Drosophila melanogaster: one gene and its partner. The protein of the gene in region 2 purifies or fractionates together with the protein of the main gene of each other region. This does not show direct contact. Each region holds a gene or a part of one and is shown on either strand. Other genes may lie near its edges.

Evidence for each region. The genes of interacting proteins can lie anywhere in the genome.
Region 1: the proteins of CG15891 (region 2) and Mvb12 purify together in Drosophila melanogaster (affinity purification with mass spectrometry, with the first as the bait; one large-scale study listed by BioGRID). This does not show direct contact.

Annotation. Positions count from the first base shown.
Region 1 is NC_004354.4:18,096,084-18,104,793, reverse strand, and holds Mvb12 (multivesicular body subunit 12), read left to right. Parts: upstream 1-3,479; 5' UTR 3,480-3,701; intron 3,702-4,532; exon of another isoform or gene 4,533-4,729; intron 4,730-5,047; exon of another isoform or gene 5,048-5,071; 5' UTR 5,072-5,082; coding exon 5,083-5,288; intron 5,289-5,351; coding exon 5,352-5,507; intron 5,508-5,571; coding exon 5,572-5,926; intron 5,927-5,993; coding exon 5,994-6,215; intron 6,216-6,282; coding exon 6,283-6,402; 3' UTR 6,403-7,236; downstream 7,237-8,710. Other genes in the region: CG7135 (uncharacterized protein), read right to left, coding at 1-50, 210-684, 749-1,113; Taf8 (TBP-associated factor 8), read right to left, coding at 1,576-1,850, 1,908-2,036, 2,092-2,526, 2,587-2,734; RhoGAP16F (Rho GTPase activating protein at 16F), read right to left, coding at 7,546-7,813, 7,921-8,103, 8,173-8,278, 8,341-8,710.
Region 2 is NC_004354.4:6,292,305-6,297,831, forward strand, and holds CG15891 (uncharacterized protein), read right to left. Parts: upstream 3,042-5,527; 5' UTR 2,750-3,041; coding exon 2,300-2,749; 3' UTR 2,213-2,299; downstream 1-2,212. Other genes in the region: mldr (mulder), read left to right, coding at 1-364, 431-803; CG15892 (uncharacterized protein), read right to left, coding at 876-1,440, 1,506-1,834; CG3815 (uncharacterized protein), read left to right, coding at 3,202-3,249, 3,406-3,596, 3,660-4,344, 4,405-5,527.

The DNA of each region.
Region 1 (8,710 bases), about 12 Mb from region 2:
TAGTTGATGTCGAAGCCCAGGCTGCCGTAGAAGCACAGCTGGAAGTCAATCTGAAGGGGCAGTAAAAAGGGCATTAAAGGATCAGTCAATTCTGATATAAACACTAGCTACTAGCTGCTAGTTCTTAGTTGGTTTATGAAGAAATAAATAATCTAATATTGGAGATTGCTGGAAGCCTCAATTTTTGTGGCCAACCTTTTGGTACTTACAATCTTCACCTGCTGCACCGTGTACTCCGCATCGTACTTGAAGAATATGTTGTTCACCCAAAGATCGCCGTGATTGAGCACGTTATGGTTGCCGCGCAGTGGGTACACCGCCTTCAGGACTCGTTCGGTGAAGTGCTCGTGGTAGCGGTAGAGCTTTGTGGTGATCCCACCGAATCCCTCACAGTCACCGACCAGAGCGGCCAGCTTTAGGAGCTGAGTGCCGAAGAGCAGCTTGAAGGGCTCCGAATTGATGGCATCCATGTGGAGCAGACCGAAGGGATAGCGGTCCACAATGGTTTCTGGCTCCCGTTCGGCCATGACCATGGTGAGGGCATGGTATTCGGCCAGTTTGGCCATCACCAGAGCGGCGTGGTCAAAGTCCAGACCCAGCTGGCGGCACTTCAACTGATAGCCTGCGGCGCAAAGGTCCTCCAGGATGATCGTCTGCTCCGGCTGGGTCGTGGAATAGTAGTGCCTGCAAATAGAAAAACGAAAGTTACTCCTCATGGATCCTAGACACACTGCCGCTTAGAACTCACTTGGGAGCCAAAGTCCAAGCGCTGAAACTATCCACCGCCCTCCACATGAGTGCCTCCAGCTTGGGCTTGATGTGCATGTAGAAAAGCGTCTCCTTGTTATAAATGTGCAGGCGGGCCAGAATGGCCTGCTTCTCGTCCGGCATGGACTTGACGATCAGGGATGTCTCCATTGCGCAGCTCTCGGCATTGCGATACTTAATCTGAGCTCGGTAAATGTTGCTGCAGTAGTTTTCCCCGCCACGCGTCAGATTGGTCAGCTGGACACCGATGACCTGCAGGTCCAGCTGCTGCAATCCGTGCTCCAGGGTGCGCCTGAAGAACTGCGGCGTAAGGTACAATGGTGGCTCCTCCAGTGCGTCCGACATCGTGTATCCGTAAATTGCAATTGTGGCGGTGAACAGCCGGCTTTTTATGCAAAATCTCGGAGAGCACTTGCCGATGCCTCATTTGTTGCCTAATTGATCTTAATGGACAGGGCACGACTGGACCTTCCTCAATTGCCTTGATGGAAGTGCATTTGCCGCTGGATTAGCGGTTTGCAGATTGAAGAACATAGCCGATTTGCAGATCTTCCAGCACAGATCGTTGCTGGAGTACCCATTTATTTTATTATTTAAATATATAACACGAAATATTATGCCATTTTGAGGAAATTGGCCCTATACAATGTCTTCAGTTCAAACTTAAAGATTCCAAATATGTAAGTATAAAATAAAATATATTAGTCCTTGAACCTAAAACTACACTTTAAATTTTTTAATTTTTTAAATTTAAAGAAAACAGGAGTGTTTACATTTTCAAACCATAATTAAAAACGCCTGCTACTCTTAAAGGTTAGTTTTGGTTATCTCTAGAGTGGAGGGCGTTCGTATCGTTGGCGCCGTGGTGGCCAGACTCCTGCTGGGCATGGTTCCGGGTGTGGGGCAATTTTTGGATCGCTTGGGCAGAGTAGCCGCCCGCAAATAGGGATTATCGATGTTGGGGTTCTCCAAAATGGCCTTGTTTGTGTTGGAATTGGGCTTGATATCCAGCTCGGGCTTCTCCTCTTTGGATTTGTCGCCATCCATCTCCTCGTTTTCGCTATCGCCCTCTTCGCCGTCGTCTAAAAGGGTGGAAAGTGTTAGCACTCGTGGCATCTGACTATTTGAAAGAAACGCACCTTTGCTGGGCTCATCTTCTGTGCGATTGGCCACCAGATAGTGGTACTCCAGCTCCTCGAAGTCAAACACCTGATCTGTGGGATTTAAAGCGGCTGCATAGGGAGGAAAGGCCGGTTTGCAGGCAATTACTGAAAGGAAATGGTTATTAATTATTGTTCGCTGGATGATTATGGTGCCTCTTACAAGGAAACATGTTGTCCTCGGTGGGAAAGAGGTTGTTCGTCTCCGTGGTCTTGCAGAGGAACTTTGTGAGCGCCTTCTCGATGTCCCGCTTCTGGCAGGCGGCCTTCTCCCTGATGGCCTCGTACTCTGTTACGGGCTGCTTGTGCGTGGGCGTCCGTATGTAGGCGTGCGGATCGGGCATGGGAGGGAAGTAGCTGGGCACGTAGTGGGGATGCGGGGCCTTGATGCCCGCTTGCAGCAGACTCAGCGGGCGCTGCTGCGTCTGCTGTGGGGGCAGTGGAATGGGCACGTGCGTCTCCTTGCGCATGTACGGATCCAAATTGGAGATCGAAATGCCCATGTTAATCAGGGCCAAACTGACATCGCCCACGGTGGGCATCGTGCGTCCACTTAGCTCGCAGTAGTTATGCGCCGAATTGCCGATCTCCCAGATCACTGGAATGGCGTGCTAAATGATTATCCTAGTACAAAATGGTAATCACAATGTCAACTTACACGCCTGCAGCATCTGGGTGAGCGTCTCCAGGCTGTGGTTGCTCGCTTGGCCGGCCCCCTTGTCCAATAGCAGCTGGGACACCACCTTGTTTAGGATCCGCCTATAGGGATCAACATTGGACACTGTTACCGCCTCCACCTTCTCCATGGAGACAGAATTCAATTTGTTTATGCTAAAGTAGAAACCGCAGTGAATATTGCCACTTTAGCGGCTAGTGATGGCACTGTTCGGCACTATCGACTACAGCTATCGGCGCAACGCTCCTTATGAGTTCAAGTGCAACTCCACTGGTTATTTCAATATTTCATCTGGCATTAAGATTTTATGTTAGTTAAACCAAGGCTTGGCATTATAAATCCTAAATTTTCAGTTCTTAAGAGTTTATTGAAAAGCTCAGTGGAAAAACACGTCACCAGAGATTGTTAAACTGATGAAAGACATTTTAAATTCTGAACTAAGTCCTAGGAAATAAAGTAAAAGTTATTTTATGTATTTATAGAAACAGGCAATTTTTTAATAATTCCAACAAACTAGTTAGTTATTCCCCTGCATAAGTCTAAAGCATCTTTTTAAGATAAATTCTCAACCATTATTAAATAAAATCGCTGAGGCGTCAACTTATTTATAAGCTGCATTACACAGCAATAACATATTATAATACAATTTTACTGTACTATATTACTTCTATATTAGTAGTTATTACTGTACACTTCTACTATTCCACACTACTTAGTCATACACTATACCATAGATTCCTCAAATTGCCTTATAATATTTTTAATATAAAATGATGACTGGGCAAACATCGGTAGTCGATGGTTGGTTCAAAAACAATCGATATATAGAAAGGAGTGCATCGCAGGTGCACCATCTCCAACAAATCAGTGTATTTTTTGTTGTTCTTTGCCAAACAATAGAAGACGAACGTACTCGGAAGTAAATTAAACAAAATCGGGCGACCGGATCGGGCGTTAATCGTTAATTGTTCAATTAAATGCAGCTTATTAGGCGCCGGGCTGCATAGTGCGATCGCAGAGTCACCGAGTGGACCGGGCCCCCTGGCGCTATAGTCGCAATCCGAACCCGAATCGCTCCATCGGGAATCTTTAATTGTGTACGTATATATGGATGAATATGGATGGATGTGTGTGGATGCTGCGTTGACTAATGTTTTTCGGATGGGGTATAGAACAAATGTATAAATGGATGGCTGAGTATTGGGAGGGGGATAGCCACTCGAACTTCCTAGCAATTTGCACTTATAATTGGAATCGTGTGCGGTCTTTTTCGAATGGATTCTATTTTTAAGCTCCGTGCTCCGTGCTCCACTTTGGTTATCAGCCGGAGTTTCCCCACTTCCCCAGAGTTGTGTTGCATATACATATGTACTAGCTGTAATCCTCTTTCTTTGTCTGCGCGCCAAAGAGTTTTCATTTCGAAACCTTAGAAAGTCTAGGTGGACAGGGAAAAATAAAATCTTGATTAATGATCGATGGGATATTACTATGAAAAACAATATTATTAACAACAGTTAATAGTAGTTAATATTGTATACTAACTCCCTATGAGCACTTTTACGTAATGATAAACAGAACAGAATTCATTTCATTGATCACATAATGGCACCTTTAACCATATCAATATTAATATATTAACAAAACAAGCACTGCTTTGGTTCGTTTGTTTTGTTTTTGGGTAGTATCCCTGGTCCGACTTTTGTTTATTGCATTTGGCTGGTGGGTTTTTGCAGTTTTACAGATGACTCAGAGCTGTCGGCAGTCACCTGTCTATGTATATCTTATCAGTAATTAAATACAGAACATATTGACAATCGAGAAAACACACAAAATTGTAAAAAAAAAGAGAGTCATCTCCTCCATTCTATTCCGTTGTAAAGTGCGCACTCGAACGTGCGGCTGCGTTTGTTTACTTCATTTCTTTGGCGACGTGAGCATGTGAGTGGTCAAAGAGAAACTCGGACCTGGCCCTGGTGTGGCGACCTACAAAAGAATGCCATGCAAAAAACCCAGCAGCACGATCATGAATCACTGGTGTGGGGCGGCAAAAAGCACCACCAGATCAACATCATCACCACCACCGACACCAGCAGAGATCAGATATAACTCGGTATCGGCGGTACCGGTTTGTATTTCAAAGTTGTTTGTGCTGATACATAAACAATTAAACAAAAAAATACCCAAATTAGTTTCAAATTGTTTATAGGGGTGAGAACGTATTTGTTTACTGACTTCCAAGAAACGCCAACATTCTTTTCACTATCTAATTTGGCTCCAGTTAAGCCAAAAGCTCAACAAAGTGAACCCTTAACTGGTCTTAATATCAACTTTCCCTCCATAAACTTTAACTTAACTTGCATAATGTGCAAGTTAAAAAATATATATATATATATATATGTATATACATCTAGGATTCATAACTCAAATTGTCAGCTTACTAATTGCTCTGTCGGTGAATTTGCCTCAGGAATCCGAGCGATGAACAAAGTGGGCAAGCACATTCAAAGCGGCATCGGTGGAGCACCCAACGCGGCATTGTCCACGGCGGCTCTACTGGGTACTCCGCTGGAGGCGACCAATGGTGCTGGCTCGACCAGCACCACCAATGTATTCAATTCCATCATGAGCTTTCTGCCGGACAATCGACCCATCACCTCGCTGCACATCGTCGAGGATTTCGAGCGGTTAGTGTGCAGTGGCCCATTTGACAGTGATTTGTCCATACTAATAGCTTTTGTGCGTTTTAGCTGCCCGAAGAACTTCAGTGCCATAAGCCGCACCTACGACCAGGATTCGGATGCGGACCTATGGCGCGACTACAGCCTGTTTGGACGCCAGAACACACGCTACCTCTGCCTGTCCAAGTCCGAGGGCCTGCCGGAATACGTGGTGGAGACCCTACAGTGAGCTCAACTCATTGGATTCCATCTCCTCTTCGTTTATAAATGAAATCTACTTGGTTTTCAGAGTGATTTCGGATAAAACGCCGCCGCCCAAGGAATTCTCGCAGGTCTCCCGCACTGCCGATAGCGACCAGAAGGCCTGGCGCAAGCGGCAGTTGATCTACAAGCTCTCCAAGCGCGGCACTGTGACCCAGGCGGTCACCGACATAATACTCTGCTCCAAGTTGAAGGCAGCGCCCGATGGCTTTAAGCTGGCCGGCGATATCAACGGAGTGCTTATCTGCTACAAAACCAGCGCGATCCCAGTGCGCCTTTCGCCGCCAGTGCCAGGTGGAGGATTGCCAGCTCCAGCCACTTGCGAGGTGGAGCAGGCCCTGAACCGCCTGAATCTCCAGGGTCAACGCAACTCACGTGGACCAGTAAGTCGTGGCTCTGAGTCAATTGCGTCTTAAAAAACTTTCAATGCTTGGCCATTTCATCAAACAGCTGCCACAACCGCCGACTGAACACCATGACTATGAGGAGATCCAAGCCAACTATCAAATAAACTCGCCACAGCGACCGGCGCCACCGCGGCCAGCGGGAGTGGGTTCTGGCGGAGGACACGGTACTTACGGCGGAACGGGCACCTTGGGCACCTACACCGAGCTGGAGGGAGTGCCTTTCGTCATGGACGTTAGGCTGCAGCGCAACCAAGCTGTGAATGATGTGAGTGACGCAGCCAGTGGCTTTCAACCTCTCGCTCTAATTCGATATTCGAAATATGTATGCATAGATACCTACACTGCCAGAAATCTCTACGCTGCTCAAGTCCCTGGACTATGACTTTCAGCTGGAACGTCAGATCTTGTGCACCATGAAGTCATCGGCATCTAAGAACCCGTTCTTTAAGTAATATTCGCAAACTTTCAACAGAAGCGTCGCAAATTGATGGTTGGGCAAATGTAAACAGCATGGCAAAAGAACCGGAAATGAGTGGATTTTATATTTAGTTTAACGTAATCGCAAATAGATGCGCGTGTGGCAGCTGCCATGGTTAACCCAGTAGTTATTCAGTTGGTATTAAGTTCTGAGGACCCCGGCCCCTTAGAGTAAAATGTGTGTAATATTCCTGTGCCTTCGATATGTATCTAATTTGGATGCTCGCCCGAGCAATCAAACACCTCAGTTTCGTAGAACCCCTCATTGGAAAGCAACCGAATCAGAATCCTACCTATTTACATCATAGATATCATTCATATACATACATGCATCGATTAACCCCAAATCAAATTGTGATCAAAGGAGCGAGCGCAATGTTTTGTCATTAATTTAAAGGCGCTACATCAGATGGCTCATTCGCATATGTATTTCGAAAGGCCGACGCATAAGATACATGTACATACATGTGTATACACCTATGTTAATGTTGAATAAAGTCCAGAATGCGGACTAAAGCTAATATAAACCTAGTACATACAAGCATATATCTAATATATATATATATATACACGTTTATAGGCCACATAGCACTTAAAACCAGTTGGTTTTTAAAAACATATATCTATTACATATTAGCTCTAGTGACGATTAGACTGTATTGCAAAATCATAGATTCTTCCCAGCTGCCTCCGTCCCCGTCATCCGCATTCCCAGCTCCTTTTCGCCCCTCTTCCTCCAAAAAATACCCCACCATGTTATATAGCAGTTCAAATACAAGAAAAAAATATATATACGCCACTGAAAATACAATATCGAGTCTTCTTTTTTGATGATTCAGCGGCAGAAGAGCTTTGGGACAAACGTGGCTCTGGACTTCCTGGGAATTCGTAAGAGCATCTGAGCATTAGTCAGTTTAAATAATTATTAAAGATATCAAATTGAGAAAACAATTAGTTTTAGTGTTTATATTAGTAAACATAAGTACAAAAGTTAGTTGATAAAGTAAGAATATAAAAAGTAATCTTAGGACACAATTGCTAGCGGGGCGTAAAGTCATTCCATATATGTACAGTGCTCTCTCTGGGATGAAGGATCCATTGGATGTCATTGGGCCAGCTCAGAATAGATTGTGAAAGAGCAGGTCCGGCTGCGACAGAGTCTTCTTTAGGTTGCGCATGCTCAGGCGGCGGCGATCGGCGGTGCATCTGTAGACGATGTGATCGGGATTGGAAACAGATTCGGGAGCGAATCGGGAATGGGTATAGAGGTGTGGCAGGTACAGTGGGGTGTTCGGTTTCGGGTTGAGGATTTCGGATTTCGAGTGGTTAGCAAAGCGTTCGACACAACGGCACAGTAGGTGAGCGGTTTGGATGAGACGTAAGCGGCTGGGATTCGGGTTTTGTGGGTAACAGTAGCGGCGGGCGCCCGGACACCAAATGGACCATCACCTGGGAGACTGGGGCTGTTCCTCCTCAGCGGGGCTCGCACTTACTCGAATATGCGCCCCTGGTACTCGATCATCAGCTTGACGCAGTCGGCCAGCGTTTCGCCCTCGCGCAAAAGTTGCTGGATGTCCTGCATGTGGACGCCCTGTGGCACCGTGTGAAAGATCGACGGCGTCACCGATATGGACAGCGTTTCAGCGCTGATCTGCTGCAGCGGCACCTTGGTTATTCTGCAAATTCAAATGTATATTAGTTACCGATACATATGTATATTGTAGTACTACGCGAGGCTCTCTAACCTATTGAAGTGACCGAAGATGTAGTCCATGGTGTCCCGGTTGCTCTCCGGCAGCGAACGAATCAGTCTTTTCAGGGAGTCCAACTTCGCAGACAGATCGGTTAACACTGCGCGTAGGAAAGGAAGAATTAGAAGTGGGCACTTGAAGAAGAATACCTTCCGAACTTACACCACTGATTGGGCTGTCCAATGAAGGTCTTGGCCTCGTTGACCCTGACCAACGGACTCTTGATTTCGCGCAGGAAGAGCTTAAGCACACCGGTCAACGTGTGTATATCGACGTCCGGCTGACGCAGTGAATCGTAGTCGTTGGCGTCGATGCTGAAGCGCAGCGTTTGGATTTTATTGTAGTCGCCGCACTGCCGATAGATGCCCTCGATGGGCTGCGTAGATCTGCGGTACTTTTGCTCGATTAGATCGCAGCAATCCACAACGATGCGCGGCACAGTGCGGTGCTGGTCGTGCTTGAGGACCATCTCCAGTTCCGTATCGAAGCAGGGCTCGTCGAAGAAGATGCGCTGTTCCCGCAGCGTTTCCAC
Region 2 (5,527 bases):
ACCTCCAGCCGGTGGCCATCAGCGATGAGGAGTTCCGGCAGCTAAGCGAATGTTTTCTGGAGCGCGTGCTCATACGACGAGACGTCTTCCAGCGCTCCACGCCCGAGGAGGTGGCCAGGTTCAAGAAGTTTGTCGAAAAGACGGCGCCATACGACTGTGTGATCGATGGCCTCAATGTGGCCTACTCTACGGGCACCAAAAAGACGCCGCAGCAGCTGGCCAAGCTAGTGGCTACGGTGGTGCGTCATTTCCGGGAACAGGACAAGCGTGTCCTCGTCCTGGGACGCGAGCACATGCGCAACTGGTCCAAGCAGGCCATGCACTATGTGCACTGCAATGCCAGCCTCTTCTTGACCAGCAATCTGTAAGGGAATTCATCTCGAATTGGAAAGGGATAGGTAGACTAATTCGTTCGTTCGTTTGCTTATAGGTCGCACGATGATCCCTTCCTGCTGTATGCCACGCTGCGCAGCGGCCAGGAGACAGACTTCTTCTCCCGCGACCTGATGCGCAGTCACGCCTTTCATCTGGGCACCGAGCTGAAGCCCATCTTTCGTCGCTGGCAGCAGGAGCACCAGTTCTCCCTGGTCACCCAAACGCAAACGGGTCAGATTATAGTCAAGGAGCCCGTTCGTCATCGGCTGTGTGCCCACCAAGTGGCGGACACCTGGCATGTGCCCTACTGCGCGCAGTACACGCCGCATCCCACAGACAGCTTCGAGGTGCCCGCCAACTGGCTGTGCATCCAGATGAAGGAGCAGACGATACCCGCCACCAAAACCAAGACCAAAACAACGAGGTGACCATGTGAGCAAGACTTCTTATGCGAATAAATAGTAGCCAAATGTTAACACGAATACACTGAAGGAGCCGTCCTAGTCGCAGTCATAGCGGGTGCACTTCTCAAAGGCTCCAAGACCCTGCGGCTGGGGCTTCTTGCGACGGCGCTCGTACAGCAGCTTCTTCTCGGCGGCGCACATGAGCCGACGCTTGATGTGATTGTCCATCTCGAAGTCCAAGTCGGCCGGCTTGGCCAGCTCGTTGGGATCCCTTGTGGCTGCCGAGTCCAGCGCCTTAATGATCAAACTGAGCAGCGCGTGCGCGAGGCGATGGCACACATCGTACTCGATGGCATCCTGGCTGGTGTAGTAGATGGCCGACTGTGAGGTGGGCTGCACACCAATGGCCAACAGGATGTTGCAGAAGATGCCGCGCTGCATGCGCGCATACGGATCCACCAGCTGCGGCGGAATGCGCATCGTTGTGGCCAGATGGGAAATGAATTTGGCGAACTTCTTGATGAGCACGTTCAGGTACTGGGTGCGGCACTGGCGCTCCAGCTTGGTCAGCATGTTGTAGTACAGTTCCTGCTTGCGCTTCAGGAAATCCTCCTTCTTTCGCTCCTTGGTCTTGTTGCTCTTAAGGATCTGCTCCAGCTGTCTGTTTTTGGGAATGAGATGAGATGATTAGATCGCGTTAGCAACTGATGCAAGCGCTGCACTTACTCCGTGGTAATGGCTTTGTATTTGCCCAGCATGCGCTTGATCCGCTTGGCCCGCAGCTTCGGATCGTATACATCCTTGAACTGCTCGTAGTTGTCGATGAGCGTGTGCAACTTGGGCTTGGACAGGGCCACGTCGTAGGGCTTTACCTTGGGCGGCAGTGTCGGCTGGTAGGCCATGCGCCGCACATACAACTCCAGCTTGTCCAGTTCCTCCTCCCGCCGCTTCTTTACGTTCTCCTCTGCGCACACATCCGGATCCTCCTCCTCGGGCAGCGACTCCGTCGACGTGGGCATCGGCTCATCCCAATCCGAGACATTGGAGCTGGCCATGGCTGAAGAGTACTACACGGAACTGAACTAAACGAAACGAAACGGAACGGCTCGTCTCGGCTTGGTAAATTTGTACGTATTGGAAATTTAGCTTTGAACTTGGTTACTTATAAACACAAAATAATGTTTCGAAATCTTTTTTGTGTACGAAAAATTTGGGTAAACGGGAGCACTAACAATTTTATGTATTCACGCTGCGATAGTGGATCACCTTATGAGCAGTCCCAGTTGAAATGTGAGCGAGGTAAAACCAAAGGACTACTTGATAGTCAGAAAAGTTCTACATGTTTTCAAAGAAATGGAACATTAATTGTATGGCAACAAGATTAAGGAATTCCAATGACTCACACCACTAACAAGCAAAAGAGCACTGCATATGTGGTTTACAATTAAATAAGCAACGTTTTATTATATGTAATGTAATGTAATGTATGAATATTAACCAGTGGATCTATGGATCTAAAGCTAGTAACACTCGTTCTGCACGGATCGCTCCAGGGCGAAGGTGTACTCCTCGGCCAGCTCGTCCACGGACAATTGGCGCGTTAGTAGCGCCAATATGCTGTCCACCTGCATTTGGGTGCTGGTGTAGCGATCCTTGTTGGCCAATCCGGGTGCCAGCTCGAATGGAATGTCCTGCAAGTAATTGACGGGTCCTTGGGCTCCGGGCTGCTTCACTTGATCGCTGCGCGGTCCTGGCATCGGCGGATAGGGCAGATAGCCCGCTGGCGGCATAGGTGGATACATGGAGCCGGCTGGAACACCCGGATGAGGAGCATCCGGTACTGGTTTGCGCTCTATGAACACGAAATCATCGACACTGGTGCCTGGACGGGTTGCCTCCGCCGGTCCCTGGATGGGCTGGTCATCCGTGGGCGTTTCCGCGGGCTTGCGTTTGCCAAATATCGAAAACATTGCACTATTTTGTTCTATTGTTTGGTAAAATCAACTGGCAAATTGCGTCGTCCGCCAGCTGTGATGCTCTTTTAGCGGGCGTTGGTCCAAAACAGCGAGTGCTAGCTAGTGGTGTGCCCAAAAGATGTAAACATATAGGTGTCTATAGTGAGGTCTGAGCGAAATATGAGAATTTTGGGTATTTAATTTTTAACTATTTGTTTGCTTGGGTATTTTTCGGTTACGAATGTGTATACCCAATATAAACTTTATTAATTGCAAGTAGTTAGATTTGGAGTGAAATGCAGTCTGCACTGAATTTCCGTTAATCGCCTATCGGTGGGCGCGCAGTGTGGCCATTCGCTCGTCGGATGCGCAGGGCTGGACAACCGACACTGCGCCCGCCTCCGTCGCCAAGTGAAGTCGCTCCGAGATTGATTGTGTACACCGGATAAGAGGAGCGAGCGAAAAAGATGTCAAAATTGGACCAGGACCCGAACGCCTCACTGAGCATCATGGAGGTGAGTGTGCCGCCGGGACGCCATTCAGAGCTTCAGTGTGTCCACTGCCCGGAGCTCCAATTCCAATCGGCGGTGGCTACTCTAGAGCTGCCACATTAACGCATTCACAACTGTCTCCATTTCCCACATTTAACATAACTTTACTACTTCGCGCAGCAAATCAAGCAGCTCATCCGCCCGCCGCCCAACGAGGACGAGAAGATGATGCAGCGGTCCACCAACACGAAGCATCCGTACTACAGGCGCCCGGGCAGGGGCCACAACCACGACTATTGTGACGCCTGCGAGGAGGGCGGCAATCTGCTGTGCTGCGATCGATGCCCCTCCAGCTTCCACCTGCAATGCCAGTGAGTATATACACGCGCATATAGCTGCTCATTTTGAGTGCTGATTTCGTGCTTTCGCCACAGTGATCCACCGTTGAGCGAGGAGGACATACCCAGTGGCCAGTGGCTGTGCCACAGCTGTCGCATGAGCAAGCTCTCCCAGCCGCCGGCCTCCTCATCCAAGGCCAGTTCCGTGGAGCGTGTGCCTTCGGCGGGCAGTGGCTCACGGGCGAATACTCCATCGTCTGGCGATCTGGAGTCCATACCGCTGAAGATCCGCAACCTGCGCAAACGCAGCAACAGCGAACGCAATAGCACCGAGAAGCTGCTGGCCAAAATGCCGATGTCCATACAGCGCGCCCTCGATCCGAACAAGAAGCCAACGCCGCTGGACGATGTCATCAGGGCGGCCACCATGATGAATCCGCAGCAATTCTCGCTGCCGCCGGAGCTCGAGCTGCACACCCAGTTCCCGGGCAATGGCAAGGTGCAACCCGTACAGCAGACGCATCCGCCGAGCGGAAATGGCGGTAATCGCAGATGCGCCGGCAATCAGCGACGCAACTCCAAGCCGTTTGAGCTGGATGCCCAGGGACTGGTGCCGCTGCCCGCCAAAACCTGTTTCTACTGCACGCGCTCCTGCAAACGGGCGCCGCTCATCTCCTGCGACTACTGTCCGCTCTACTTTCACCAGGATTGCCTGGATCCGCCACTGACGGCACTGCCAGCTGGATTGTGGATGTGCCCCAATCATGCCGAGAATTTTATCGTAAGTCAGCCAACGCACATGGAGGTCTGCTTGGGTTCTAATGAGGATGTCTGTTCACAGGATGCCAATATGACCAATAGCATTTCGGCCACGGAGCGGGTGCGTCTCTGGAATCGCTTCCACCAGCCACTTGACCATGAAAATGTCAAGCTTGAGTTCTTCCGGCGTGTCAACACGCGCAATCCGCCCTTTCGCACCAAGAGAAATCTGCGTGCTCGCGCCCACATCGAGGTGCCAGCCATTGTGCGCTACCACTACGATCATCCGCCGCCGCTGTTGCCCTCCATGCGCCAAACGTTGCGCTACGATCGGGTAAAGCGGCGCAATAACCTGCCCACCGAAGTCGAGGAGATATCCCGTGAGTCGGTCACCGAATCGCTGCTCAAGGATCTGGAGGCCTTGCGCACGGCTCACGCCAAATTCCGTGAGATTCAGAGGGAATTCGGAACCTTGGAGACGGCCATAGATGGCGATAGCGACAGCGATCCCAGTCCTGAAGAGAAAAGGACCGAGACGAACACTCCCGCCGATAAAGTGAATGGCGAAGTGGATACGGAGAATCCCAATACAGAATCGAATGCGCAGGCCAGCGAACAGCCGTCGGTTGTCAAGGTGGAGTCCAAGACCAGCCTAGAGGTGGAGGCTAGCTTCGAGGAGGACGAGGAGGACAGCAAGAAATCAACGGGTATTATCGATGCAGACCTCTTACACCTGGACGTCGATATAATCAAGAAGCTGGCGCACCAGCGTCTGCAGCAGCTGGTCGAAGAGCATCCGGAGATTGTGACACAGTACAAGAATCGCACGGCCGCTCGTCGCCTGCGTCAACTGGCGTCAGTCGATGGCACACATGTGGCTGGCGAAACTGCTGCCCTGCAAGGCCAACTGGCGCCGGAGGATATGAACCGTTTCTCGCTGCTCTTCACCAGCGAAACGTCCTCAATTCTGGCGCAAAAGAATGGCAATGCCGCCGACGAAGATCCCGCAACGGCCCTGCATCCGGCACTGGCCACAGCGGCGGCCATTGCAGCAGCAGATGCCGCTGCCGAAAGCTATGCGCCGCGTGCCCGTAGCGACACGGAGAAGGCATACGAGCTGGCATCGCGCCTGGAGCTCAAGCTGCTGCAGTGCAAAGTGCAGGCGCGTGCGGTGATAACGCCACTGGGCGACATGCTCGAGGATA